Mus musculus: one gene and its partner. The protein of the gene in region 2 purifies or fractionates together with the protein of the main gene of each other region. This does not show direct contact. Links are inferred from orthologs where the notes say so. Each region holds a gene or a part of one and is shown on either strand. Other genes may lie near its edges.

What was found.
Region 1: the proteins of Slamf1 (region 2) and Ptpn11 purify together in Homo sapiens (affinity purification with western blotting; 3 studies listed by BioGRID and IntAct, with this or other methods). This does not show direct contact. The link is inferred for Mus musculus from reciprocal best matches to the Homo sapiens genes SLAMF1 and PTPN11.

The regions. Positions count from the first base shown.
Region 1 is NC_000071.6:121,138,813-121,153,758, forward strand, and holds part of Ptpn11 (tyrosine-protein phosphatase non-receptor type 11), read right to left. Parts: intron 13,743-14,946; coding exon 13,663-13,742; intron 13,559-13,662; coding exon 13,400-13,558; intron 10,423-13,399; coding exon 10,291-10,422; intron 5,885-10,290; coding exon of another isoform or gene 5,873-5,884; coding exon 5,718-5,872; intron 4,818-5,717; coding exon 4,750-4,817; intron 4,343-4,749; coding exon 4,191-4,342; intron 1-4,190. UniProt on the Homo sapiens protein: Acts downstream of various receptor and cytoplasmic protein tyrosine kinases to participate in the signal transduction from the cell surface to the nucleus. Positively regulates MAPK signal transduction pathway. Dephosphorylates GAB1, ARHGAP35 and EGFR.
Region 2 is NC_000067.6:171,760,562-171,776,166, reverse strand, and holds the start of Slamf1 (signaling lymphocytic activation molecule isoform 1 precursor), read right to left. Parts: upstream 9,036-15,605; 5' UTR 8,941-9,035; coding exon 8,865-8,940; intron 2,655-8,864; exon of another isoform or gene 2,566-2,654; coding exon of another isoform or gene 2,517-2,565; intron 1,385-2,516; coding exon 1,043-1,384; intron 1-1,042.

The DNA of each region.
Region 1 (14,946 bases), on a different chromosome or scaffold from region 2:
CATATCTTCAGACATAACATCTTCCACGGGCTCTGGAAGCCTCATGCCCAGCACTGGACTGGACAAGGTAGAGCAAACTTGAACTCTGCTGAGAGTAGACTCCACCACCTCAGCATGCACTGTGGGGTGCTGGGCACACTAACCAACTAACCATGACAATCATCCCATAGCATTTCCACACACAAAATACACTGTACACTCTCAATACATAGACACAGTATTTTTGTTTTGAGGCAGAGTCTCATTATATAGCCCTGACTGGCCTGGAACTCACAGAAATCCCCCTGCCTCTGTGTCTCTGCACTATAGGAATTAAAGGCATGTGCCACCATGCCCAGCTAGCCTTGATTCTGTAAGTTCCCAGTGAAGAAACCTCACCATCATCTTCTCAAGAGGCAGAGCTGACCTGACTGTCCTGAATCAACTTAGCCCTAAGGTACTGGAGTGGTGCAGAAGGGCCTGGCACAGCACAGCCTGAGTCTCAGCTGCAGGGTGCAACTGACAGCTCCTGGAATGTCCCAAGTATGGAGCAAGAGCAATAGTATGACATAGAAACTATTCCAGATGAAAGACAGGAAACAAACATGAATGCTATACACACCATGTGACCCTGACCACAGCAAGACAAACTGGAAAAATCTGAATGTGGAGTATGGCCTACTTTAGCTTTTTGAGTTGTGTTTATGTCTGTGTGTGCACATGAGGAAGTCACCATGAGGTGTGTGTGTGTGTACTCGCGCACACACACACATGCACTGGATCCCTTAGAGGTGGAGTTACCTGCAGTTTTGAGCCCTCTGCCATCATGTCCTCTATAAAAACAGTGTGTATCCTTAACCTCTGAGCTGTATTTCCAAGACATATGTTTAATTTCTTGTTTGGTTGTGGTTTTATCAAGAAAAGGTCTAACATAGCCCAGGCTAGACTGGAATTCCCAGCCTTCTTGCCTCAAGCTACATAAGTGCTCACACATGCTGGGCAAGCTTGTGTGCTGTACTGGGATGGACCCCAGGAGCCTAGTAAATGCTCACACGCTGGGCTCCAGCCCTGACCTGCAGATTATACAGAGCTTTCAATTTGCTCCCCCAACTTAGTAACTGAATCATGATGATGTAACAGAACATCTTTTTTTAAAAAATATATACCAATGCACTTAGAAGCAAAGAGGTACAGACTCATGTAAGTTATAAACATTCCCTTTTTAAATATTATGTATATTAAATAAAGTTTGAAGAAAAAAATAAATGCTTGTGTTCAGAAGTTGAGTAAAAGAAATACCACGCACTCCACACACTGCTTTTGCAAATAAAGTACTTACTAATATAAATGGAAAATTAAAAAAAAAAAAAAAACAAAAAAAAAACCTCTCAACAAATCTGCAGTGGCACAGCTGGGCACTGGTGGTGCCACTTTTGATCCCGGTGCTTGCGGGGCAGAGGCAGGCAGATCTTTGTGAGTTTGAAGCCAGCCTGGTCCACAGAGTAAGTTCCAGGATAGCAAGGGCTGTACAGACAAAGAAACTCTGTCTTGAAATAACAAACAAAAAGCCCTGCAGCACAAGAGGCAGTCTTAATAAGCCACTCAGGACTGTCCCTACGGTGCTCTGTCCCGTTCTCTGCTCGCCCCTCTGTGTATCTCTTTCTTGCTGGCCCGCTTCCTCTGTTTCACTCCGCCTCTTTCCCCACGGTTCTCCACCCAACTGCCACTTTGTTTTCATTTAGCAATTCTTTTACTCCCAAAGGGCTTAACTCATCCAAAGTTGGAAGATGGCTACATTTTGAACTAATTCATTATACTAAATGAGTTTTGTCCTGTTGCTTAATTTAAGAATCCGCTGGGCTTGGGCTGGAGCCATATAGTGCAGTGGTTAAGGACGCAAGTGCTTCTGCAGATGAAAGCTAAGTTCCCATCAGCAACCCTGGGCAGTGCACATCCTGGTGCAAGGGGTCTGATTCCTCCTCCTTCTACACATGGACACAGGCTCACACACATTGAAATTCAATTTAAAAATAAGCAGGGAGACAGGTAGTTGACTGTTTTGTGTGCAGTTGACTCTTTTGTGTGCAGTGGTAGTTTTCTTTTTCACTGTTGCTTTGTTGTTTTTGCAATATCGTCCTATATAGCTCTCACTAACCTGGAACTCAATACACAGCCAAAGACAACCTTGAATTTCTGATCCCATCTTGGTCTCGCAAGTGCTGAGATTCAGGCACATGCCAGCACTTCAGGTTTACATGGGGCCAACCATAGCTCTGTGTATACTAGGCAAGTTCCAAACCAAGTGAGCTACACCCCCAGCCCAAACCATACACGCAGAAATGTATGTTTATTTTTGAGACATAGGCCTCACTATGTAGCTCTGGCTGTCCTAGAGCATACTACGTAAACAAGGCTGACCTTGAACTTAGAGATTAGTCCTTTCTCTGGGTGCTGGCCTCAAAGGCTTGTTCCACCACAACCCATCCCTCCTATATACTTTTTTAACACCAAAGTTCCAAGTTCCAAAATCTGAGTTAATACAATTGCAAAGTGCTAACACATACTAGTATCAAAATGAATTAGCTGAATGAATGACTGTATGAATGAATGATTGTATGTATGAATGAATGAGTGAGCGAGTCAGTGAGTGCAAGCTTGCATCCTTCAGGTGGAATCAGCAGGACACTCACTTGTTAACATGTAAGTAACTGAAACACATGCTTTGTGTCCCCATCAGTAAATACTCCTTCCCCACAATCAACCAAGTTACTAAATAAGATTCTTTTCCCCCAAAATTATTTCCTAAATCCAACTTACAGCCTCAGTCTTAATAGTCTCAGTGCCAGGAAGCAATATGAAGGCTCCAAGCAGCAGTCCCTCAATGGGGAGCAGCCAAAGACCCTCAATCCCAACTCAAATACAAACCCAAATGGTACAGAGGACTTCTCCCGACAAGATGACAGAATCTCCTGAATGTTTCTGACCAGGCTGAGCAACCATGTGCTAGCTCTTTATTTATTCCCTGAGCATCTCTTCTAAACTATGAGTGGTCCCAATTAAGTGTAAACTGGGAGACATGTATAAAAGAACTTTAGGGCAGCCATCCAGGTTCAGAGGTGGGAGGTACAGGTCAGTGGTGCAGTGCTAACTTAGTGTGCATGAGGCTCTGGGGTGCAGCTCAGGGGCAGAGTTCTGAGCTAGCGTGCATGAGGCCGTACGTAGGTTTGCTCTTTAACACCACAAAAAAAAAAAACAAAAAACTGCTTACATTGAATTCATATTTAAAAAATTAAAGTTGGGGATGGGTGGCTTGTTAATCAATCATGTGACCTCCTGACCCCGCGTCTACTTGAGTACCTAAACTCAGGAAGGGGCCCGCCTCTGGCTCTCAAGGAGGATGGTGCGGTTCTCCCTACTCTTCCAGGCCAGCATGGTGGCGCACACCTTTAATCATAACATTTGTGAGGCAGAGCAGGTGCATCTTTGAGTTCAAGGCCAGCCTGATCTACAAACTGATTTCAGGTCAGCCAGGGCTATACAGCGAGATGATCACTGTTTTTTTTTTTTAAGCTACTCATTAAGAGACAGCCTGCTACCCTATGACACGCACCAAGTCCCCTCTCCTGGGCTTTTGGAAAGCAATAGCAATAAAAAGGACAACCGTGGTTGGTGTTTAGACACCACCCATCTGCTGCAGCACAACAGGGTTTGGGAAAGGAATAAGAAAAGCTCCCCAAAAGAACGGCTCTCCTCATCTCCCTCAGCTTGGCGCATCCTAATTAGCTCAGCTTTGTGTCTGTTATGAATAGTCTCACATGGAAAGGCTCCAACTGCACACTCTTCATTATGCATAGCTTATTAAAATTGAAATTCACTGTTTCAATGCAGCCAAATTAGTGGCTCAAACTGCCACGCTCTATTAGAAATAAGGCATTCATTTTACAAGGCAGAATCAGAATAGATCAATCTAGAGCAAAGCTGAAATGGCTGGAAACTGTGGACCCTGAGTTCTAAGCCTAGCATATGAAAGTCACTTCCTCTTTGTAAGGCAGAGCCGACTGCCGCTCATGATGATGGCACCACACTTCCCTCAACTGGGAGGCAGTGGATGCTGACCACAGCTTACAGGGAGGCCAACTGTCAACATTTTCCAGATGAAGAGAGCGAGTCCAGACAGGAGCTGAGCCATGTGTCAGAGCCTCATTCCATACCTGCTCCTCCTCGATCCGGCGCTGCAGCGTCTCTATGTAGTGCTGGACAGCCATGTAGATAAACCGGTACTGTGCTTCTGTCTGGACCATCCCCGACCTCTGGGACCGCACCATCTGAATGGTTTTAGGAACGTCGATGTCACAGTCCACACCTGCAAAGCACAGACCCTAAAGCTGCAGGAGCACCGCCTGCCACAGCAAGGACAGAGAGCCGGTCCTTCCCATCAACTAGCCATGCGGGTGCAGGGCAGAACTCCTGAGTCAACACGCATAACAATGCCAGCAAATGCCAGGACAATGCCCCAGGAGCCCCTCGCTCCCCAAGAATGCCACCCAACACCAGGGCAGGAGGGACCATGTGACACAGGTGACAGAAGAGACAGTGATGGGACCAAAGTGCTAGGACTATTTTTAGCAAAACACATTGAAAGTGAATCTCATCCGTATTTCCATAACTGCTTCTTTCTCCTGCAAATTCTCTCTCGCAGGCTACGTTTCCTGGCACCTCCTGTCACAAACTTGAACAGGAATTGCGGCTTCTTGTCCTCCAATGACCTACCTTTCTCTCGAATGATGTCAATAAGGATGTCAATCACAATGAAGGTTCCTGTCCGGCCAATCCCAGCGCTGTAGGTAGAAGAGTAAGAGCAGAGTGATGAAGTGATGGAGCTTCACTCAGAACCAAGCTGTCAATGTCGACAGGCTCTCTGCTGTGTGTCTACACAATGTGCTGATAGGAGAAGCTTCCTATCAGCAACCCCTGCCCGTGCAGAGGGGTTCAGTCCTGGCATGGGCCCCCTAGGGTATCCTTGTTTCCCCATCTGTGGAGTGGGGGTGCGGGGGGGGGGGATCACCACGAGGTTCACAGTGGTGAGACTTGGGGCCCTGAACAACACGTGGCATCTTTTCTCTACTCCCAAGTTTCATACAACTTTTACTTGAAAACAGTTGGACAAATTATGGCTCTTCTGGACATACAAACTTGCCCACAGACTCGTGGCTTCCTGTCTTAAAAGCCACAGCAGATACTCAGAGGAAGAAAGGTATGTTCGTTTCTATCCTAAATAGCCAAAACCTAGCTGCAAAACCTACATTTATGGTGGTTTAAAAACAAAAACAAAAACAAAACAAAAAACACTGAACAGTCCAGCCCTGGTGGTACAGGCCTGTTACCGCAACATTCTGGAGGCAGAGGTAGTGGCCAACATAGACTACATAGTAAAATCCTATCTCAAAATAACAACAACAAACAAAGTGATCGACAAGGAAAGCTTCACTCATTTCTGGATTGGCTCAGCATATGAACGAGACTGTAGAAAACTGAAGCATCCCTCATAGAACCATACATTCTGCTGTGGTGACCCTGGGGCAGCCTCCACAAAGGCCTATGTGGGAAGGACTGCCCTCAGAATGAGCAGTCTGCAGAGTGCTGGGAACAGTGTGTCCGTCACATCCCTACCAAGGACAACTGACTTCCCAGCCCCTAAGTAACAGAAACTATTAAAGGAAAGCAAGCTGGGCAGTCACCTGCAGTGAACCACGACAGGGCCTGCATCCACGATGCTCTCCTGCTTGTGGTGGACCTCCTCCAGGAAGTCCAGCACACCTCCAGGGTCACTAGGCACGCCATGGTCTGGCCAGGTCCGAAAGTGGTACTGCCAGACGGTTCTCTCTGTGTTTCCCTGGAGTAGAGCCAAGAAAAGCCAGAACAGAATTAAATAAACCAAAGGCTGAGGAGCCACGGCGGCTGCTGACCTTTCCTGGTGCCTTGCAGATGGAAAGCCACTCTCTGGTGCCCAGGAGTGCTTCTTTGACAATCAATGGGTCAGCCTGGAAGGAGCACCTGCCTGTTAGGAGATCCAAGACATGGAGCTAGGCAATTTGTAGCATCTTCTGGCAAAATGTAGCCAAGGCATAGTCCAGAGTCATCAGAGCAGGCCATATTCCCCAACGTCCTCAGTCAGGCAGCACTCAACTTCAGAGCCGCGGAGGGCCCTAAGGACTGCAGTCTGTCTTCCCAACTAGCAGCCTGGCAAACTCTAGCTCCCTCGAGCATCTGCCCTTGCAGCCTCATGCAGGCACCCACGTCCATTACAGCACTGTCACAGCCAGACAACAGGCTTTGTGAATTAGATGGTGAGGCTTGGGCTCAAATCCCAGGAAGCCCCTTACTGCAGAGTCAAACCCCCAAATGCATTTGCAAAGACCTGTTTCTCACACAGAGGGTTAAAGCAGCTAAACAAAGGCCCTCCCAGCTAATGGAAGTAATGGTGAGGACTGAGAATATCCTGGCTGTTCTTAGCTACAACAACAGCAAGGGATCAACAGAGGCACCAGGACCACTTTGACCACAGAAGCTCAAAGCTGGACCAGAGGAAAGGAAAGGAAGAAGAGAGGGCGGGAAGAACAGAAGCTCAAAGCTGGCCTGGAACAGCCACCAGTGACTTTCCCACGGAGACAAGCCAGGAAACACTAAGGAAAGGGAGAGGGGCGGGGGGAACGACGAAAGAGAGGAAAGGAAGAAGAGAGGGCTGGAAGGGCAAAGATATGAAGGGGAGAGAAAGGAAAGGCAGGGGTCAGAGGGAGGGAGGGAGGCTTCAATATCCACCAATGCTGGTGAACTTCCTTACATCCAAGGGTGCTTGCTGTGATTAAAAAAATCTCCTGTGTGCTACATGCACTTAATCTGCTGATGTCATGGAAAACTAACCTTGTCGTTACTAAGTGATTGAAACCCAGGCAACTTCATGGGTCACAGACAGGAGGCCAGTAAGAGAAACAGAGCATGCACTGCCACACTGCACAGCAGCACCCCTTCTTAGCCAGGGCATCTCTGTACATCAGTGCTGTACAGTAGGTGACTTGTCATAGCAAGGCGGGAGCCAGACGGATCCATGTTAGCCTCTATGCCAGGATAAGAGCGCAAGTGTGCCGCCATCTCCCACACCTCCCTCTTAAAATCTCCTGGTACACAAGATGGAGCAAGCCCTGCAGCATTCTCTGTATCCAGAGACAAGCCACACAACACACATTCCTTTCAAAGGAGGGAGGGGGTGTTGAGCAAGATGAACAGCTTTTTGCTAGCACCAAAAGAAAGAAACTGCCTGTCTGCTACTCAGAAACACTGACAAGCCTGACAGTTCATCATGAGATGTCACAAGAGGGTTGGCAAGGCAGCTCAGTGGGTAAAGACACCTGCCATCAAACCTGACAATCCCAGAGAACCAACTCCTGAAAGCTGACCACCACGGGTGTGCCAAGAGGAACACACCTCCTGTGGCTTACACACACTATATACACCCCCTCAGAGAGCACAGGAAACAGAGCCCTTTCTGCTCACCATCAGCCCTAGGCTCTCCTCCTGCCCTTCCATCTTTACAGGGGAAAGCTTTGGTCTGGAACCAGCCTACCCACAATACACTGGGTCACGGCCCTCTGCCAAGCCTCCCTGACAGCTGCCCTGCTGTCCCTCCTGCAGCCTACTCTGCAAGTCTGGAGGCTACAGGGTCATCCTGTGCTCACCCAACCATCACTTCCACTACAAGGATCCCAAGCCAGCCTCTGCTATCCCGGTCCCCTATGCTCCCCCAGCCAACGTCCACCATCTCACTTCATCTCACCGCTCTAGGCAGCATCTGCCAACTGCTCCTGAGCTCTCCCTGCAGCGGGCTCATCCCCTCCAGTTCTGTGGGTCAGAGAATGAGTGCTCAGTACCGGCTGTGGCTGGCTAAGTGAGTATCAACTTCCTTCCCTGGCCCATCTCAGCACACAGCACCCTTTGACTTGGCCCTAACTGCACTCTATAGTGACATATCAGGGCATGTGATTCAACATAATCTGGACAGTGGAGTGCAACTGAGAGAGCAAGACAGCACCTGTGTTGTCTGTCCCCAGCAAGCAGCACAGTGCTAGAAACATATGTGCATCATAACTCTCCTGACACCCGATGGAGATGCCTGCTCAACAGCTCGGCTCAATGCGTCCACACAGCAGCTGTGCGTCTGGCTTCTCGCACTGGCCACAACAATGCTGTCCACTCAGACTCATGGCTCTGAGACACCTTTGGTCTCTTTTTTCCCTCCAATAGCCAAACTGTCCCGACCCCTGCACATGACTTTCCAGTGACCTGATCCTCACTGCTTCCATACCATTCCCAACCAAAGGAGTAAGCGCAGCAGGAAAGACCACTGCTGGAGACATGCAGAACAGGTCAAAGGCCTAGACCAACACAGAGGCCTCCCAGAACACAGCTTTACATGTGCTCACTGGGCACAAGAATTGAGACAGGGGGCTGGAGAGATGGCTCAGCGATTAAGAGAACTGACAGTTCTTCCAGAGGACCTGAGTTCAATTCCCAGCAACCACATGGTGGCTCACAACCATCTGTAATGGGATCCGATGCCCCCTTTTGCTGTGTCTGAAGACAGCGACAGTGTACTCCTATAAAAATACATAAATAAAACTTAAAAAAAAGATTGATTTAAAATAATAATAATTAATTGAGACAAGTTCCAAATGGTGGATAAAGCTCAAAGCTCTTAATATCCTCAAACCACATGGCAGAGAGAGAGAACCAATTCCCATAAATGGTGCTCTAACCTTTGCATACATACATACAGGCATGCATGCATGCACACGCATACACACACACACACACACACACACACACACACACACAAAATAAATGTAAAAACAAGTAAGTAAACTTTAATACCCAGGAGCCAGGTATGGGGGCATGCCTTTAATTCCAGCATATGGAGACAGAGGCAGGGGAATCTCTTTGAGTTTGAGGCTAACCTGGTCTATATTGCAAATTCCAGGCCAGGCAGATAATCAAAATAAAAATCCTCAGTCAGTCATGGTAGCACAGACCTTTAATCCCAGCACTAGAAAGGCAGATGCAGGAAGATATCTGCGAATTTGAGCCCAGCCTGTCTCTGTAGCCAGTTCCAGGTCAATCAGGGATTCATAGTGAAACCCTGTCTCGTAGTAGTAGTAGTAGTAGTAGTAGTAGTAGTAGTAGTAATAGTAGTAGTAGTAGTAGTAGTGGTGATCTTATTTATAATACTAGTAAATGTTATAAATAATAATTAATTTATTAATTTCTAAGGCTATTTCCAACAAGACCTAACCAAGAGTATTTCTGCAATACCCTCCTGAAATTCTCCTGCCCAGTCAGTATCCCATTTTCCTGCAGTCAGGCTATCAGGATGTGGCTCAGACAACGCCTGTGCCCAAAAGGTTATGCAGAGGCCCAACCTCACGCCAGCTGGAGAAGCCACACTCAGGTCACCTCAGCCTGAAGCACAGCTATCTAAGTGTAGGGCTTCTCAGCATACCTGACTTTAATCCATGAGGATAAAAGTAGATTTCTTAATCTAGGAATCCCCAAAGAAATCAAACAAGGCCCTTGTAAACACACAACAACATGACTCCGAGCCAGCCACTCCAGGACTAAGCCTGAGCCACAGGCCATGGAGAAGAGCTCCAGCACTAACCTTGCTCACAGACTTGATCACAGCCTGGGACGGTAGCTGCTCCCCTACCTGGAGCCTGTTCTTCTGCCTGCATGCACAGCCCCTCTGGCTGGCAACTCAGCAAGTGTCACCTCTCAGAGGCCCTACCTACCTACCCTGTGTCATGTCACAAGAGTTGAAGGCTGCCAGGCAGTGGTGGCACACGCCTTTAATCCCAGCACTCGGGAGGCAGAGGCAGGTGGATTTCTGAATTGGAGGCCAGCCTGGTCTACAGAGTGAGTTCCAGAACAGCCAGGACTACACAGAGAAACCCTGTCTCGAAAAAACAAAAACAAACAAAAACAAAAAACAAAAAAACAAAAAACAAAAAAAGAGTTGAGGGCCAGGAAGCTGCAGTTACCCTTACCCCCATCTCTCCACGCTCTGTGAGGGCAGGACCTATGCCTGCCTTCCTCACAAGGGAAGATAGTGGCAAACTGGGCTCAACAGCTATGAGGCACCCGACGTGGCGCTCAACCAGTGAGTGACAGGACACAGGACAAAGGTTGAATGCGAGCAGAGTACCACAGTGACTTCGAAACATGGACAGCTACACAGTGTCTAGAATACGACAATATACTTACTTGTCCGACCTTAGAGAGTTTGAGCTCTCGTAAAGTGTAGTCATGGGCGGCACTTTCTTTGACGTTCCTAACACGCATGACCCCGTATTCTTTGAGCGCATACTCATCAGGCCAGTACTTGACACATTTGCTCTGGAAGGAACCACAAGGAGCCTGTTAATTAATGTCCCAAGCCCTAGTGAAAATCCAGACCTGCAATGACCAATCATCCCAGGCCTGCTGGTGACAGCAGCAGGAGGCTCCTCCTGGGACAGGAGCCTGCCTCTATCCTCTAGAATGCCAACAAGAGAACAATGCAAATGAGCAAGGCAGGCCACAGGGGGGAGGGTAGGAGGTGCCGCAGGTTGGCCAGATGCCCACCCCATGCCCCACCCACTAGCTACCAGATCAGAGTCAACACCTGCTTATTCAGCTCTGAGGATAAAACAGGCAAAGTGGGAGGGACTGCCCCCAGGCAAGCAGAACTTGCAATTCTAGCATTCTATCAGTTGTTCTGAGAGGACAGGCAGATGGCTGACACTGTCCTATCATGTGTACCTGGATTTCTCTGAACAGTATGAACAGCTCACTCAGAGGGGCAGCCAGGGTTCTGGGCCAGCTGCTTTCTCTATATCCAGACTCATCTGACACCAACCACACACCAGCTTCCCAAAACCAAGAACACAGTCTGCAATGGCTGTTGGCTTCAAGAACAGATTGGGGGGGGGGGGGGGGGAGCTGGGGGCTGGGTGAGATGGCTCAGTGGTTAAGAGCGCCGACTGCTCTTCCAAAGGTCCCGAGTTCAAATCCCAGCAACCACATGGTGGCTGGCTCACAACCATCCGTAACAAAATCTGATGCCCTCTTCTGGAGTGTCTGAAGACAGCTACAGTGTACTTACATATAATAAATAAATGAATCTTGAGAAAGAAAGAAAGAAAGAAAGAAAGAAAGAAAGAAAGAACGAACGAACAGAGGGGGGAAGCACACACCATTATTGATTTATGTATTGAGTATTGGCACTTGGGAAGCAGAGGCAAGCAGGTCTCTGTGAGCTCAGGGACAACCTGATCTACATAGCAAGTTCCAGGCCAGCTAGAGCTGCATAGTGGTACCCTGAACAGATAAACTGAAAGCTGAGTGTGCACACTTGTAGTCCCTGAAGACAGAGGCAGGAGAATCACTTCCAGTGTAAGTCTGGATTGCTCTACATAGTGAATAGCAGGCCAGCCAGAACTATATAGCAAGATCCTGTTTCAAAACAAACACCAGGGCAGGCAGCTGAGAAAGAAGTAACAATGACATAAAGGTAAGAAGCCTTGTCCAGCCGAGGAATGAGCCTGTGTTATCTCCAAGAGGAACAGTTCCATCATCTACCAATGATAAGTCCAAGACAGAACATGCTCTGCTTCTGTCTTTCTGGAAATCGTCACACTCACTTTCTAAAACCACCCATGTGAACATCAGCAAGGAAAGTTTACATCAAAGTCTAGAAATGCTGAGTAACTTACAGGTGGTAAAAAACAAGAGGACAGCTAGCTACAGAGCTTAGTAACTAACCCAGAAAGGACCCCGAGACAGAAGGAGCAGCTGATGGAATATGTGATTTTTATTCTAAATTCAGCCTTTGCATTTGACCGTCTGGTAGGATTTCTATCACTGCCAACGTAATGGTGCTGTTTTCTGACCAATCAATTCAAGGATTGCTCTGGTCACTACAGAGGCCTCAACAGAGAACACAAAACCACCCTGCCTTGAAAAGAGACATTTCAGCTGACTCACAGCACCTGCGGCCCTCTGCTTAGTGGTTTGCATGTTGCAGGACTGCTGCGTAGGAGAGCTGCCACAATCTGGTTTTGCTTCTGTGCAGTGAGGGACACAGGCTGTAAACAAAGGCTGTCAAGAGACTCCAGAACTACTGTGCACACTCCCAGGGTGACATGAAGGACTGGGTCAAGGAGGTGAGGACTGGAGCTGAGCACAGGCACCAGGTACCATTCTGCCCAGGCTCTCTGCTCTGGAGTTTTCAACTGCACTTCCAATGGTGGCTAGCCTGATTCCTCTGTTACGAGCCCATGTCCTCTGTGCTAGATGAACTCTGACCTTTCCATCAAGCAGAAAGCAGGAACTGGGAAGAGCTGTAACTGAGAAGAGCCCAGGAACTCAGGACACCTAACATCACTGCTAAAGGCATGCAAAAGTACACCAACCAAAACCCTGCACCATCACTTGCCTCTCAGTTGCCAGGCTCAACTACCAAGAGCCCCACCTGTCTCAGGTTAGCTTCTAAATGTGACTATGAAATTGCACTCAATTTTATGTAAGGCAATAGAGAATATCCAAACAAAAACTCTAACCAGAACACAATTAAAATCCAAATATCAAAAACCTATAAATTGTGGCACACGCCACAAAAGACACAGATGAGCAAAGCACATGTCCTGGCTCAGACAAAGGAAGAGATCCAAGACGACACCACCATGTAGACAGGGGCTAAGGGAGTGGCACTAAGGAGCCTTCTGTATGGGTTCCCTCAAAACCAACTGAGTGGAGTGGGGACATTCCACAGCGCTCCATGAACTCCAATCAGAAAGCACCAATAAGCACGCTGGACCCATGGGTGCTCACATGCATCCCAGCACTTAAAAAGGTAGGAGCATTAAGGGGTTCCTTTAAACACCAGTTTTTTCTACATAGAGCTCAAGGCTAGGCTGAACATAAAACTCTGTATCTTTGAAAAGAAAAAGTTAGAAAAGAGGAGGAGGAGAAGGCAAATAAATACACACACTGAGACCTATCCAGTCCAGCCTTTTTTTTTCCAGAGGATCAGCCAGACCCACCTGACACATTCAATATTTTGTTGTTTGTTTGTTTTCTGAGACAGGGTTTCTATGTAGCCCTGGCTATCTTGGAACTGCTCTGTAGACCAGGCTGGCCTCAAACTCAGAGATCTGCCTGCTTCCTTGTCTTTGGATGCTGAGATTAAAGCCAAATACCACCACAATCCAGAAACACATTCCATAATTTGAATAGTAAAGAATACTTTATCAGATGCTGGGCACACAGAGCCCAGAGCTTGGGGGGTGGGGGTGGGGGGGTGGGGGGGGTATCAGAAAAGATAAGTGTGTACCTTCCCTCTCTCCACTTCCTTTGTGGTCATGACAATGACTCGAGAGTTCTCCTGGAACACCATCCGCCAGAAGTCATTCACCGTGTTCTGCAGGCAGCCTTGAGTGGCAATGTAACTCTTTTTGGGTTTGGAATTGTTGCACTTGGTCTCAAACTCAGGCTAGAAGTCAGGAAGAAAAGCCTTCAAGCATTTGAAAGATGGTGTCATTGGTATAAAGAGGCTTCCAACACATGGCCAGAAAATATAGCCAAAGTCAAGCTTACCATGATGATGTTTGCATTAATGTAATCAGAAACAGGCTCATTGGGATCCCCATCATGCAGAACGACCCTGGTATGATCAACTGAGGAGAAAGAGATGACAGCTGTCAGTCCTCAGCTTCAGCAGAAGCCAGCGGGGCTCAGGCCAGGCCAGTCTAACAATGACTTCCACAGGATCAAATCTCCAGTCAGCACATGTGCAACCTGCCACAACACCTCACTTTCCTGTCTCGGTGATGCTCTGGGGTACAGGCACTGGGTATGAGAACCATTTATGCTATCTTCATAACGTCTTATGGATCCAAAATCATTTCAACCCAAAAGGTTTGGGCTCCTGTTTTTCTTCCTATCTGGGTTTTGGTGACAAAGGTAGGGATTAAACCCAGAGCCTTATACATGCTAGACAAACAGTGTGCCACTCAGCTATATCCCCAGCTGGTTTCTGGTTTTAAAAAGAAGACTAAAGTACTAACAATGACATCTAAGATTTTCAAAGCCACCTAGGGAAAGAGAGGTGGGCCTGAGTACAGACGAAACAAGGCCACACAGGAGCTGGCTACTCCTGAGGCTGGGCAACAATATGTCAGCTTTTGTATGTTGATATATTCCACATGTTCTATAACAAAAGGTTTCTTAAGGAGACAGAGTAAAATACAGTGTTTGTAAGACAAGATTCATAAAGTATGAGTTGTCTTAATTCTGTACAAAAATACATTATCAGTATAAAATTCTGAGTGCTCTATCAAAACCAACGTAGTTTACGATGGCAATCAGAAGCAAGGCTGGATGTGTTTCATAGATAGAATTTTGATCTTCTGCCTCGTCCCCCATCTTTAAAGAAATAAGATGTGCACTCATAGGACGGTGCAGGCCTGGAATCCCAGCTACACAGAAGGATGAAACGGGAGAACCACAAGTTCAAAGCCCACCTGGGTAACTTATGAAACTGTCTCAAAAAAAAAAAAAGGATTTAAGAAAGGGGTTGGTGATGTAGCCCTGGGTTCAATCACCAACATTTAAAAAAAAAAAAAAAAAGGAAGGATCAGAGGACACACTGATTGATTGGTGGCTAGCACAGCAGCAGACAGGTCATTTGAGAAACAGCTGCACTTTACAGTGAGAACCTCCTCTGAGGGGGCGAAATTTAGAAATAAAAAGAATGAGGTCCTCCAAGCCCCCAGGACCCCTATTCAGTTCCACGTGATTCTCTGCAAACTCTGGTTTGCTTGTCTCATGAAAGCAATGCCTCCTCCCCTACACAAGTCAGACAGCCATGTGGAATGAACA
Region 2 (15,605 bases):
CTGATTATATAAGGTGTGACGAACTCAGTAAACTCATAAGAACAAAAGGACAGATTATATAATATTTACGTTATTTAAAAAACACATGATGTGCAGCCTCCACGCACACTCAGCAGATGGCTATGGGAGCTCTGCATTCTCTGTTTGCTGGAGGAACGTGCTGGGGCAGGAGAGAGCCAAGATGTTCTTCTTTCTCTCCTAGAAAGCTACAGCTTCCAATAATATGCTGGCTGTGAACTCCCATCCCATCCTTGGAGATGTAAAACATCCTTTTGAAAGAAGTCTCCACACAGCTGTCAGGAAGCCTTGGAAAGCAGACAGGCCTCAGGGCCTAAGGGGTAGGAACTGTAGGTGTCTTCAAGGACAGGAGTGGAGGTTAAAGGGGCTCAGACAAGTCCTGTATTCAGCCAAAATGTAGGTTCTACCGGTCCACAACTAAATAACTATGTAAGCAGATCCTGGTTCAAGTGAGAAGAGAGGTGTTTCTTTCGCAGTGTAGGTGGAACCCCTACCCCCCCCAAGGCTCTGGGACTTGGTGAAGTGCCTGTGGGTGTACTATCAGCTCTCTTTACCCTCAGAACCTCTGCTGTAGCAAACATCCCACATATGTGTGAGCAAGCACATGTGAAATCGCTTGCCACTGGAGTCTGGCTCCCTGGCAAATGAAAGAGGAGGTGGGTCTGTTCAGTTGTAGTCAAACTTTGTAAAAGTCAAGCTTGATAAATAAATATGTGTGTGTGTGTGTGTGTCTGTGTGTATTTTTATTTAAAAAAATAATATGCAAACTAAGCTAGTCCTTTGGCCTCCACACAGCAGGCTCCCTCTCTTTCAAAACAGGAATCAAATCAGCTTCCACCAATGGGAAGAAAAAGCCATAAAGGTCTGTTTGTCAAAGTGCTTCCCTTAAACTTAAATACCTGTTAGACCAGATCTTTCAAGTTGCTTCCAATTCCAGACATCCTACTTCTGGGAACGGCCTGAACTCTGGGACTGAGAACCTTCTAGGCCCTCCTGTGCTAAGTACAAAAATTCCCATTTTTACCATAAAGCTTCAGCTGCTTGCAGAATTGCTGAACAGAAACGTTCTCCTCCACGCTCACCAAGTACCATCCTTCACTCTCCCGCCTGTTCCCGAGGATCTTCAGGCTCAGGTTTTTTGATTGAAAGTGGTAGCCATCCTCCAGGTGATCTGGATAGCTCCCTTTAGAGAGATCAAAAGACACAATTTTCTTGTTGGATTTGCTTCCTGGGGACGTCGCCATGGTGACGAGGATGCGGACACTTTTGTTCACGCTCTTATTTATCTGATGTTCATTCGTCAGGGGCAGCCACGTGTCCTGTCCCAGCTTCTGGAGAATCACTGGGCAATCCATCACACCTCCACCTGAGGGAAGGACGGGAAGACAATTACTTATGATGGAAGATCTGGAGACATTTGTTATGTTGAGGATAGAGAAAGACAGACTGAGACTCTGCTTACTTCCTGAACGATATCATATTGTCAGGTGGTGGTCTACCAGGATTCCCACTAGGATCCTAACTGTAAACTTCAGTATCTCAGAGCATCCAGTGGAAATCCTCAAATCATGAATACCAGGGTTCTCTCAACTCGGACTGAACAGCGAAGGCACAGACAACAGAGGTAAAGTGAGTGACTTCCTTAAAGTGACAGTAGTGAGCGCCAGAGTCAGAGACTGGAACCTTAGGCTGTAAATTCTCTGCCAAGGTTCAATATGCAGGGTGAAGAGCAGTGACAGTGAGGAGGAGCCTGGAAGCATCAAGTCAGGTGAGAAGAAGCAGAGAAGGGTCTGAGGCCTGTGAGAACTAGGACGGAGATGCTCTTTGTGCCCAAACTGGAATCTTGCTTCTCCAACAATCCCCGATTGTTAATAATGGTAAGGACAAGAGATTATTTTGTTTCCCTTGTTTAAAAATGCTGAACCAACAAGAACAGGGGGGGAAAACCCCAACGAAAACTCAAAGCTCTTTCAAACCACTCTCAGGGATTCTAGTGCTGAGCATTTAATACCTCTGCTTCTTTCAAAGCCGCAGCCTAACCCTGAACCCTCCTGCCTCCTCTCCCAGGGGTTGCCTCCCTTTCTGATTCACTGAAAAGAAAAAAATAGAGAAGAAACCAAAAGCAGATTTCAATCTATGGAGATCCCAACCAGCCAATCTACCTGGAGGACTGACCCGTGCTCCCATCCAAGACTAGTATCTTCCCTAGAGAAGTACTCTCAGGCTTTCAGGCTTTGCCTCCGGAGCCAAGCCCTGCACTACCGATGCCTCCTGGAATTCTTCCACCAACACACACATACATACAAACAGTTAATTGCCCTTATCTGAGAGAGAGAGAGAGAGAGAGAGAGAGAGAGAGAGAGAGAGAGAGAGAGAGAGAGAGAGAGAGAGAAATTCTCCTCCCACCCCAGGTCTATCCTTAGTCACTTGGTTATTTTCATTTTCTTTTTGGAAGGTTCTTGCACATCTATTTATGTTTTCTGCGTTTACTTCCTGACCCAATTTTCCCTGTATCCACTCCAGACAACTCTTCTTCCAAATTCTCATAGGATCACGCTTGTCAGTCTGTCACACTGAGCCAAGTCTGTTAATTCTCCATCGTTGCCTTGCGTGTTTCTCAGGAACCCATGGTGTAGTTCATCACCCCTCTGTTAAACATGGTCTGCATTTGGTCCCCAAGATACTACACTTCCATGACTTGCTTTTTTGTTTTTCTTCTTTTATCGTTCTTAGTTTCCTTAGGGGAAACTTGTGTTCTTTGAGATCTCTAAGTATCAGAGCATGGTCGGGCTCAGGTTTCCTTCTTTTCCTTATCTACACCTCATTTCTCATTTAGCTCCACAGTGTGACATAACTGCAATATTTACAGTTGTAGACCATCGCTAATCCTTTCACTGTAGACTCCACCACCTACATAGATGGGCACTTGGAAGTTTAAATAGCGTCCAACGTTAGCAAAGAACTCTGCTCAGGCATGACAGATCATCCAGTTTCTCAGGCCAAGAACACTGGAGGACCCTTGAACCTGTCCTTTCTCCTACTCCACATTTAGTCTTGACAGAAAATCCTGCTGGCTCTAATTCTCAAGTTGATCCAACACAGAAGTCCTTGCCACCTATTCCTTCCTGACACCGTCACCACAGGCCTAGCTGCTACCACTCTGCCAGCTAATCTCCCAGCCTTTATACCTCGGACACAGTGATCCTTTAAACCATGTCTGATTTAGGTTTTTCTTTCTATTGTTTTTAATCTTCCTGGGCGTTCTAGCCCTTACAAACTTCACAGTCTTTGAATCTGCTCACTTCGAACTTAGCGTTGCTCCAAACCCATTCCGTGCCCACTCTCTGGCTTTCACTGCACTATGGCCACAGAACTTCCCTGCTCCAGAACCTCATCAAGAACTTTCCCGACCCTGGAGAGTTCTTCCCTTATGAACCTGAACTTCTCAGTGCCTTACTTTACTTTAGGTGCCTCCTCTGACAGATTTCCTAGGACATACTTCCTGCCCTTGCTGTCACCGTCTGGTGTTAAATGCACAGTTATCCATTTGTATTGCTGTCTGTCCCACTTGAATACAGTCCTTCTCTAGAGAACAAACGAACAGACGTCATACCAGTGTTTGTGTCTGATGTCCTGATACAGTGTTTGGCACAGACAGGCTCTGAAATAAATATCTGTTCAATTAGCAGGCACTGAAAGCCATATTACCCTCGGCAAGCTCCTGTTTACCTTAGCCTGACACGTATACAACCGAATTTAACCCTAAGTTAATGTTCATGTTAGGAACACATGACTCTATGAGCATAGATTGCTCTCGCTGATAAGAGATTCGAAAGGGTAGAAAACCACCTGTTTCTGCAACAGGTCTGCTAGAAAAGACCCCATTTCAACTGTGGTAGAAATGAGCTGTTGGAAATTGGGTAAAATGTCCAAAATATTCTTGACATCAATGTGCTCTGAAATCCCTATACTGTCTACTAAATGACCCAGCCCAGATTAATGAAATACTAGTGATTTGGGGAAAAATGCTTTCTACACCGGCTACAGTCAAGATGAGTACTTGACTGTACTCATTGGTGCTTGGCTGTTACAGGAAAGCATGGTAGGTGTTAAAGAACTAGGTCTTTGGGGCGTTGCTAATATTTTCCCTGAAAACACAGTGCTCAGCCGGTTCTCGGTTAAGGTGGCAACGCTTGGTTTTCCTGTGGTTGTCTGTTGCAATTTTCCCAGTGGTACCCTGGGAAGAACACTGGGCCTTTCTTTTCCAGCCACACTCAGAAATGCCTGACAGTTCCAGACGACACACCTCCTCTGATGGCTTTACACCCGAATTGTAACAATGTGCCCAAGATACAGTTTGGTCTCTTGGGTCCTGAACCCAAGTTTCTCTATGTAAAAGAAACAGGGAAGACTGAGAGCCACCCATGGACCCCTGAACATACAACTCGGGGATCACTTCCATAAACACCATTTCTCAAAGAGAGCTGAACATTTAAAAACAGAATCACTCTCACACTGTTGACATTTTAAACTAATTTTGATATGAAGAAGAAGGGGGAAATGGGGACATTAACCCTTTCTAAGACTGTTAACTCTTTTTCACTCTCCTACACGTCTCCCACACCTTTTCCTGTCACCAGACACTGCAGGCTTGTTGTTGTTGTTGTTGCTGCTGTTGTTTGTTTTTGTACTTTCAGAGTACAGAACTGGTACAAGGAAGAGAAAGGTAGGGTAGGAAGTAGCCAAACAAACAAACAGACAAATGATAGAAGTCGAGAGGAGAAAGGATGAAAGGAAACCGATGGGGTAGATGAAGACAGTCCACACATAAGGACTGGAGTCAAAGTTCCACCAGAAGGAGACCCCAACACCCAAACACATGAGAAGAAAGATGACGTAATTGCTCCCATGACCTCTGAGTCTGGAGGGTGCTCAAATGGAAACACATGCGGGGCTGTAAAAGCCTTCAAGTGGAGTCTCTTTTCCTGAAACATCCTCCTGCCTGATGAGGGTTTTCCAGCGAGCCTGTGATTCAGTGTAGCCCTGTTTACTAGAAGAGACTGGGCAGGAACATTTCTATACCTCACACCAACTCACTTTCCTTCACGAGTATTTCTGCTTTGATGGTGGAGTGACTCATATGGGCAGGTGAACAGTGGCCTGATACGTTCAGGATTTAGCTAAGCCTTTGACAAAGTGGGGTTTCTACCTCAGGACCTTATGTTTGGCTCCATTATGGTATTTTACATATTCTTTTATTACCTCGCTACATTCTTCTTTTCTCTTTTTTCTTTTCTTTCTTCTTTCTTTTCTTTCTTACTTCTTTCTTTTGTCTTTTCTTTCTCTCTTTCTTTTTATTTTTACTTATTTTTTATTTTTAGAAAAGAGACAGGGGGCTGGAGAGATGGCTCAACAGTTAAGAACACTGACTGCTCTTCTGAAGGTTCTGAGTTCAAATCCCAGCAACCAAATGGTGGTTCACAACCATTTGTAACAAGATCTGACACCTTCTTCTGGAGTGTCTGAAGACAGCTACAGTGTACTTACACATAATAAATAAACAAATCTTTAAAAAGAAAAGAAAAGAGAAGGAAAGAAAAAAAAGAGACAGGTCTCATGGGCCTCACAGTTCTAGAGGTAAATGTAGACTCAGGAAGGAAAAAAACAACTGGTCTAAGGATTGTTTTTAAACCTAGATAACCTACTAAGATGCCTAGTCCAAGGTTGAGAGGGCTGGGTCTTCGTTGCTCACACTGCTTGCACTCCTCATCCCCCAGCCTGAAAGCCTGGCCCACCTTTTGCCTGTCCAGTTCCTTCCACCCTCCAGGTCTTCTGATGAGGGAAGACTTTCCAGACTTCAGGTTTAGGGTAGGCTTCCTGCCGCCTCCTTCCCTCTTCCATCTCTCCATCCCTCCTTTGTGCTTCTCAGCACAATTTTTATCTACGTTAGCACTTGTTGTGCTCACAGAGTTAGAAGCATTCAAGAAGAGGGATTGTATCTTTTATTCACTGTGGTATTCTAACAGTGATTCTCAGCCTTCTTAACCTGGCGACACTTCATTCCTCAGGTTGTAGCCACCATAAAACTATTTCACTGCTACTTCCTAACTGTAATTTTGCTACTGTTATGAGCTGTAACATAAATATCTGATATGCAGGGTATCTGATATGTGACCCTCCGAGAAGATGTGACCCACAGGTTGAGAACTACTGTTCTAACTGGTACCTGGGACTCAATGGGAGCCCAAGAAATCCTTCTTATCAAAGTCAATAAATGAAATTAAATGGGTTGAATGAATGAACGACACCATGAGTCTAAATGCCCCCCTTTCCACAATCAAGATGAATTCCATTTTCTTTCTATAACATCCCCAATGTGGGATGAGAGACTATTCCTCCCCACTTTTCTGGTGAGGATTTACAAGTTCCTTAGCCACAAACCATGGGTTTCTTTATTGCAACAGACCCCTTGCCATTCCACCCAAACACTCACATCACTGAAGCCTGGGATGTATCTCCATCTAAAGTTCTCCTTCCCAACTCTAGTAGACTCCAACCTACTTTGTGAAGGATACTCGAAACATGGACAGAGTGTCATCTATAGCAAGGGTTATAGAAAGAAGGCAAGTCTTCATTCTAATCTGTTTTGTTTTGTTGAAGTTTCAGAAATGCACATGCAACTTTCCTCTAATAAACAAAAAAGGTTAAGCAAAAACCACTATGACAAAAAAGTTTCTACTTCCCAGCTCCCCATCAAATGCTTCCTACGTGCCTCTTCATTTTCCTTCCTTTCAGCAATGCCTCTCTCCTTTTGGAAAACCCCATACTCAATTAGTTTCAATTTAATTCAACATATACACCTTAATCACAGACATCGTAGCCTAGTTTTCCTCTTGGGACCTTGAAACACATTGGATCATTCTTCCCAGTCCTCAAACAGAGCATATCAAGTTTCATTCACTGAAACGTCTAGCATCCAGCCTCATGAGTACAGAGAAACGGTTAATCTAGTCTGCTTATCTTTCTTCAGTGACAAAGTTCTAGCAATGGTGGCACCAATCTCATAGGGCTGGTATGAGAATTTGAAGGATAAAACACTTAAAACAATGCTTTCTATAAAGTTTGTCTTGCAGTTATTTACCCAAAGATAGCAACTCTTTATTCTGCCTCTTGGATTAAAGTCAAGATGCCATATAGAAGCTGCCTAGCTTCTTGAACATCACTCACTTACATGTGAAGTTCACTGTAAATAAAGACATCAACTATCCTTTAGGAGCCTTTGCTTTTCTTGGGAAGGGACGTTTGCACTTTTTGCATCTTATAGTTCTGAGTAGGAACTGAAAATTGAGCAGAAATGGGAAGGTGCACACTTTTTTACAAGAATCAAGCTCCTCTGGGTTGCCCTGACACGACTGATAAGTCTCATTTGCAAAGTATTTCTATTTGGGTTTTAATGGGGTTTCACAAAAGAGTACACATTTATAAATAGAAACACTGACAAAAATTGAGCTTATTTTAGAACGTGGAATGCAAGGAAAGAATAGTTGCCAAGTGGAGAGACATGTATGTATCCTGGGGCTGGGCTGTCGCTCACTAGCCAGTGACCTCCTACCCTTAAGCAGAACATTTGCTAGCTACATCTGAGCTGCTACAGACAAGGTTAGACAAGGAGAAAACCAAACGTTCATTCCATAGTTACTACAGTCACCAAGTAAGCCAGCAATGGTGGGTTCAAATGGTATGCAACAAGAAGGGCTTAGCTCTACCTCCAAAGATGCTCAGTTTGATTATCTCAAAGTGGAGCTAGACAAGGGTCTCCTCATCTGAGACTTGAATAAAAGATTCTAGGTACAGCCCCCCACCCCCAATCCCTGGCACATTTCAGGGTTTTTCTTAGAAAAGTCCATAATGGATTTACAGTCATGAATCCCCCACGACCAAAATGCTCTGGCTCTCAGGATTTCCCCGATCCGCTTCCTAAAGCCATCTCTGCCAGGCTGTCTCCCACAATCTAATTAAACTCTACAATGGAGTTGACCATTCATTCCATGGTTAGCCCAGTATGCACTGCTTAGCACGGTTGCTCTCCAATACCTTTCCTTACAGTTCCCACCCACTAAGTAGAAAACAACAGCTTGCCTTGGAAAAGAGAAGAACCAGAGGGATGGGAGAGAAGTCCTGCTCCTTTAACCCTTTGCCATCACTTGAGCCCACTGCAGAGCCTTGAAGTTTCCTGATTGCACTTTCCCCATTCTGTAAGCAACCCTGGGCTCCAAAATCCCAACGTTTCCTCTTCTTGGTGCTTTGGAGTCATCTCTTATAAGAAAGCATGACCACACCGCAGCCACTGTCTGGTGTGAGCCTAAGGTCTGAGGTTTCCCACTTCTACCTGTTGCTCCTATCACCCTTGCTTTTCACTGGACCGGTGTTCTTTGTCTGCCAATGATGTACATGTGAGAGTCGTTTTCCTCAGCAGAAGTATAGGTCAAGTGTCCCAGAGCTTTGGTCCCTAGCCTGGGTCTTTGCCAGAAGGGTAGCCACATAAACCAGCTACTCAGAATTTTAGCCTGAGTCCAGGAAGCTGACTATGGACATAGCAGGTGCCTTTAGCTTCTGGTTTCCATAGAAACTAGTGTAGATGGGACAAATCCTTGTAGCCCAAGGCTCAGGGAACTCAACAGGTTTCTTCCTCTTTGAAAGACACAGTGGAAACCCAGAGGCACTCTCCTTAAAGAAGAGGCAACTGAACAGCACTCCCCAGCCCTTGGCTTCTCCATCCATGGGGCTCTGCTGATTCCAAACTGCTAAACACAAGACTCAAACCCTTTAAACAAATGGACACTCACCTGTTCCGTAGCTCAACTCAAAAGCCAGGGAGAGAAACAGAAGTATTCTCCAGGAAAGGGATCCTTTGGGATCCATTAGCCAGCAATCGCAGACAGGGTCCCCAGCTGTGAGCTCAGCTCAGCTCAGCTCGGCAGGACAGCTGCTTACTGTTACCCCCAAGGAAGAAGCTCTGATCGTCGAAGTGCTGCCTCTGCTGACAAGTTCCTGAACCAGCTTCCTGTCTCAACCGGGTTTTTTTTTTTTTTTCTACTTGAGCCTCCAGGATTGCTCATTTATGATCAGGCTTAAATCACTTTATCACTTCATTGTTCTTGAGAAGCCAAAGTCAGGTGTTCAGACCCATGGGAGTTGGGAAAGGGGCTGTAATGTCACATCAGTCAAACCCTGGCTTGGGGAAGAAGTGTGATTCCCCCCCCACCCCTCTTTTTTTCTAAGCTGTTTCCAGGAAATGGGTGTCACAAGTTCTTTGAGCAGATCTGTCTGGTAAACTCTTCTTGGATCCTAAGAAAAAAACGGACATTGAGTAGACCACCTACAAATTAGGGAATCCAGAGCTCAACTTCTATTTGTAACTTACTTGGCATGAGATGACAGGACTGTTACTTATGATTCGTTACATAATCTCATTGAATACCTGTGCAAGTGATACTTTGAGCTATAGTCACAAACTGATAGAGTAGACAGGCGTAGACATCTCTGACCAACAGCCCATTTTCCTGACAGGCACAGTGGGGCAGAATCAAGTTAGCTCTCTGTTGCCTTCAATTTAGAAGTTGTTTGTAAGGTTTGCTATGGAGAAAGGATGGAAGAAAGAACTTCCATGAACAGAACACTAGAATAGGAGCTCAAAAGGAGACTTTGAAAGGTGAGGCTGTGTGTGTGTGTGTGTGAAAGTCAAAGAACAACCCCTAGGAATCAGCTTTTTTCTTCCATCATGTGGGATCAAGTAATTAAACTCACGTTGCCAGGCCTATGCAGCAAGTATCCTTATCCACCAAGCTATCTTACTAGTCCCCAGGCTAATGCTTTTAGAATCCATTGTCATATTCACAGATAATCTACTCTTGACCCCAAAGGTCATGGGGTAGAAAGAGCTGGAGTTAGAGGAAAACTGGTCTGTAGTTCTCTTTGTTTTCTCTTCTCCTGCCTCCTGTATCCAACTTCATAATGATGTATTGGGCATGGTGTGTTCCCAGATGTGTCCTCACTGTGGTAGCTAGGAATTAACTCCACATAAGGGGTTAATATCATAGAAATTGAAAAATGATATAAATTGGAGTTTCCTTCCTTCCTCCCTCCCTCCCTCCCTCCCTCCCTCCCTCCCTCCCTCCCTCCCTCCCTCCCTCCCTTCCTTCCTTCCTTCCTTCCTTCCTTCCTTCCTTCCTTCCTTTTCCCTTTTCCTTTGTTTGTTTGTCTGATGGTTTTATTGTATTTTCTTTTTTTGAGATAGGGTCTCACTATGTAGTTCTTGCTGGCCTGGAACTCACCATGTAGACCCGACTGGTCTCCAATTCACCTGGTTCTGCTTCCCAAGTGCTGAGATTAAAAGTGTGCACCACCACACCTGGCTATTGAATCAGAGTTTTCAAGAATAATGCATGCCCTTGAGTCACACAACTCCTGGAATGCATGCTCCATCCTGTGTGCTTAGGTCAGGCCCCTCCCTCTCTTCAAAGACTTAGACTCATGTTCACTTTATTCTTCTAGGATGAACTCTTTACTTTTAAAAAATAATAGTTTTATTAGTTCTTTGAGAATTCTATCATATTCATGTCCCCTATTCTTCCAAGGACATCCACCCAGCTTTGTGTCTTTTCCTTCTTAGCCCATCAAAACAATTTTGTGCTGCCCAAATATTCCTGGATGTGTGATCTTCCACCAGAGCCTGGATGACTTACCAAGGACTATGTTCTTGAATACATATGTGTCCCGCTGTGTCTGGAAGACACTGGTTCCTTGTAGTCGCCCACCACCTCTGTCTCTTACATTCTCTCCACCCCCACTCTTGTGAAAAGGGGACCCAGTATAGATGTTCCATGCGAATGAGGATCTATAATGAAAAAGAGCAAGCTGAGCAAAGGAAAAATACTAAATGTACAGTTGGGGGGAGTAGAAAATAGCACCAAAAATTTCAATAGAGTCAAGTCCAGTGCTCAAGAAGATAAAAGGTTTAAAGAAAAGTCTAATGCTAAGTGGAATAGAGGGAGCGGTGACCTCAGGACAAGACCAGAGCCAGCTAAGCTTCTGATTTGTGAAAAGCAATTAATGAACTGTGAAAAGGAATTAAAGAAAAGCTTTAATCCCAGCACTCCAGAGGCAGAGACAGGTGGATCTCTGAGTTCAAGGCCAGTCTCATCTACAGATGGAGTTCCAGGACAGCCAAGCTTAGGGCAGTGAAGAAAACCATCAAAACCATAAAGTTGATGCAGATATAACCGAATGATTGTGTGTGTGTGTGTGTGTGTGTGTGTGTGTGTGTGTTTGTGTGTTCTAGCCCCAGCAAGTAGCAGAACTTGGTAATTTTAGCTACATGGCTCTGGCTTTATAGTAAAAGATAAAAGAAAGGGGTTGCAGAATCTCCCTCCATGACAAAGGAAAGCTGTGGGTGTCTCTGCATGGAGGCCTACAGAGGCTATTGTGTGAAGCTGTGAAGGTGAAGCCTGGATTGCCTTGGAACCACAAGAGGTTGGAGGTGCCAGAGCCATTAGAAAAGCTGCTAACAGGGACTGGGACCAGCCCAAGAGAGGAAGAAGTGTGTTGCAGTTCACAAAGCTGAAAGGAGTTGGAGATCTGAGGAACACTTTGACATTAGACATAGAGATACAGAATAGGAGTTTGCCCAGCTAGTTTTCTGTCTTGATGTGTCTTTCTTCACTATGCTCCCATTCTTTCCTTTTGGAGTGATAATATATATCCTGTGTCGTTGTATGTTGGAAATATGTGATCTGCTTCTTCATTTTGATTTTACAGTGGGTTCTAGTTAAGAGATTGTCCACAAGCCTCACAGACTTTGAACTGTGGCTTTTTAAACAGTGTTGAAACTGTGATCGACTATGAGGACTTTAGAAGTTGGACTAAATGCATTTTGCATTATGATATGGCTACAAGCCTATGGGAGTCTGAGAGTGTAGTGGTTTAAATGGGAATGGGTCCCATGGGTTCATAGAGAGTGGAGTTCTTTGGATTTTGAGGTTTTAGAAGCTCAAGCCAGGCCCAGTGGCTCACAATCTCTTTTAGCTGCCTACTGAGCTGAACGAAGAACTCTCAGCTCCTTCTGCGCTATGTCTGCCTGCACACTGCCAAGATTCTCACCATAACAATAATGGACTAAACCTCTGAACCACTCCCAGTTAAATGTTTTCCTTTATAAGGGTTGCCACGGTCATGGTGTCTCTTCAGAGCAATAGAAACCCTAAGACAGGCCATGTGGCTAATTCAGTTTTCAGAATTTATACAGCTCTGGGCAGAGCTGTTCCTTCAATGTAGAGAGCGGATGCTGACAGATCAGACCAATGTGGAACGACACAGTTGAGCACATCTTGTATTGACAAAGCCATTTTTTCTGAAGCCAACACATTTACTATGTTGTTTTATCCTCACAGCAACCCAGGAGCAGACAGGGCTCATGGGAGTATAAAACTGACCCTAGGCCAAACCTGGGAATCCAGCCTCTAAATAAAGGGTATTTTCCCTTTTCCAGGAAGACACTTATTATTCCTAGAAGAATCCAGAAATTGGAAAGAAAGGAGTGTCACTAACGGTAGACCCTGCAGGTCAGGCTTTTCATATACATTATTCCATAAATCTTTGAAACAATAAGATGCTGGTATGATTTCCCTATTTTACTGATGGATGTGTAAGAGTTGTGACACACACACACGGGGGGGGGGTTGCCAGTCTTTGGTCTCATGATGGCCAATAGCTTACTATCTATAGAACATGTCTTCTAGTACGAGCAGTGAAAGAATCCTAGATATGTGTGGTTTCTCGTTCCTAGCCCCCATCACCTGTGGCACAGTACCACTTCCTCCCTTTGGGTACACAGTGCCTCACTCTGAGAGTGAGGAGGACTATACAAAGAGCAGCCTCTCCCAAACTCAAATGGGCTTTGCAGTGAACCCATATCCAATTCTTTATTTTTAATTAGTAATGTCTGTATTATGTGTGTATATGAATGTGTTGTGTGTGTATGTGGCTTTTATGTGGACATCAGGGACTCAGGCTCAGGTTCCCAAGCTCGAGGGGCGGACACTTTACGGTCTGAGCCATCTTCTCAATCTCCGGCTCTTGAAATCCACGTTATGCTGTCTTCTAAGATTTGCTATCCTTTCCTTCTCTTGATGCATAACTACAAGTGGCAAAGTTGCCTGCCTGCCAGTTTCAGGGGCTGATGCCTCTGACCATGTTGGTTTCCCAACCAATGACCATCTTCAACATGACTTCTAAGTAAAAGTCCTCTATTACACAAACTATTCTGGCAAATAAAAAGTCACTGAAGGACGGGCCAGATCACCTAGCCACGTGGGGCTCACAATGAACACATTTATCTGGATGAGAAAAAAAAACCCACAAAGGCAAAATGAAAGTACAAAATTTCCCCAAATTCTGAACATCTCCTAGGAGACCTAATTGCAGAGTCTAAAACTGGCCTGGGGAAAACACTGGGAAAAAATACCCCTGTGTCTGCCCTGCTGGGTAAGATGAGGAAGCTGTCAATGGGTAGAGGGGGCCAGGTATCTGATACAGGATCAGTCAGTCAGAAACCCTCCTTGTTGGGCTGTGTGTGTATGGGGTAGAGGGGTGGCGCAGGAGAGGATTGTGATAAAGAGAGAGCTGATAAAGACCCTGGATGAGAGGAGCCGTGGCTTAGATCCAGGCCCAAGCATCCCACAGCCCTTATGTCATCTGGGGGGATAGCTCACTACATGCTCCTCACCACAGTTTCTCACATCAGTGTGCCTCAAACTCAGGTCAGAACACTGACGTATGGGGATGGAGAGACACTGTGGACTTCCTCTCTAGAAATCTTTCATTTTCACTGATGCTTCAGCCAGCAGACCCCAGAGCCAATGTGGTGTGGAAATCCTCCCCTCTGGGGGGACAGAGGAGGGACAGCCTGGACTGACTGGCCTCTCTGTTCATCAAAGAACACTTGGCTGAGAGCCACTACCTCACTGACTCCTCCCATGGCACTTTTAGAGTCGTTCTTATGAGGGCTACGGTGTTTCCTACTGCTCCTTACCACAGAGTTTCCTGGCCTCCTTGTTACTGGCAAGAGTCCTTAAAGAAGGGGAAATGCCTGTGTCATGGTACTCCTTCTAGGAAAGAGTGGCAGTCAGGAACCAGGGACACACCCTGACTCATCAGCTGCAGGCCATTTCCAAGCAGACTGCCTCCTGTAGCCAAGTGGTGGATATGACAATCATTGCAGAGTACGCTGGGGGACAAAAGGTGGAGCAAACAGGGGTTGAGTCCTGTAGCTTCCTGATTGGCTGCTTGATGAGGGACATCTGTTTTCCTTTCCAGCTCTCAGACTGGATTTCTACCATTAGACTCTCAGGTCAAAACTGAACTACACCACTGGCTTTGCTGGGTCCTTGTGGGGCAGTGGGCTGTGCACAGACAGCCTCGTCTCCAGTTGAGCAAAGGTCTGAAACCCCGGGAAACCGATGGCTGGTGATTTCCACTTACATGTGACAGGAGGTGTTCGATCATGTCTCCTGGACCCCTGGCTCCTGTCAAAGTTACTGCCTCCACAGCCCCCACAGGAGAGGTGTGTGATTATCAGTCACGCAGACAATGTCCCAAGCTCCTGGCATTCTGGCTAGAGTCCATACCCACAGTTACCAGACTATAGCCAGGTATGCTCCTCCTCACAATTACCTGATAGCCCAGCCCACTATAAAAGAAGCTGCTTGGCCCCTCCTCTCTCTTTTTAAACTCTCACATTTCTTACTCTCTTCTCTAGCCCTCCCTCTCTCCCTCCCTCCACCCCTCCCCCCACGTGGCCATGATCGGCCTCTCTCCCTCTTCCTACCTTCTCTCTTTCTCCCTGCCTTTCTGCAATAAAGCTCTAAAACCATAGACTGTCTCTGCTCATCAAGGCCCCCTGTGCTTGAACGATGGGATAGGCTTTCCCCTTACGAGCCTCATCTAATCCTCTGGCCGGAAGGCCTTCCTGCACTCCAGCCACTGACCAGACCAAAGACTCTCACCCGAGTAAGAACCACCCAGCGTCCCCTCTCCCTCTGCCCTCTCCTCCCTTTGGTCCCAGGGCTGACTGAGCCTCCCCGAGCCCCCATTCTGTTCTCAGCTCTTCTGAGCTGGAGTCCAGTGGCTTCACACAGCCAGATGCCCACCTGGGGCCACGTGGAAAGCACGCGATAGTCTTCTGCGTCCGCCCACCCAGAGCACCAGAACTCTGGCGTTCGCAGGTTTTCTCCCACTCCCTCTTTCCCCCACACCCACTGCTAACAGGTCACCACCTTGTAGCCTGAGATCACAGGAATTCTCAGCTTCCAAAATAACAAAAGCCAGTGAATCTGTCATTCATTCATTCATATATCTATATCTATATCTATATCTATATCTATATCTATATCTATATCTATATCTATATCTATATCTATATCTATATCTATATCTATATCTATATCTATATCTATATCTATATCTATATCTATATCTATATCTATATCTATATCTATATCTATATCTATATCTATATCTATATCTACAGC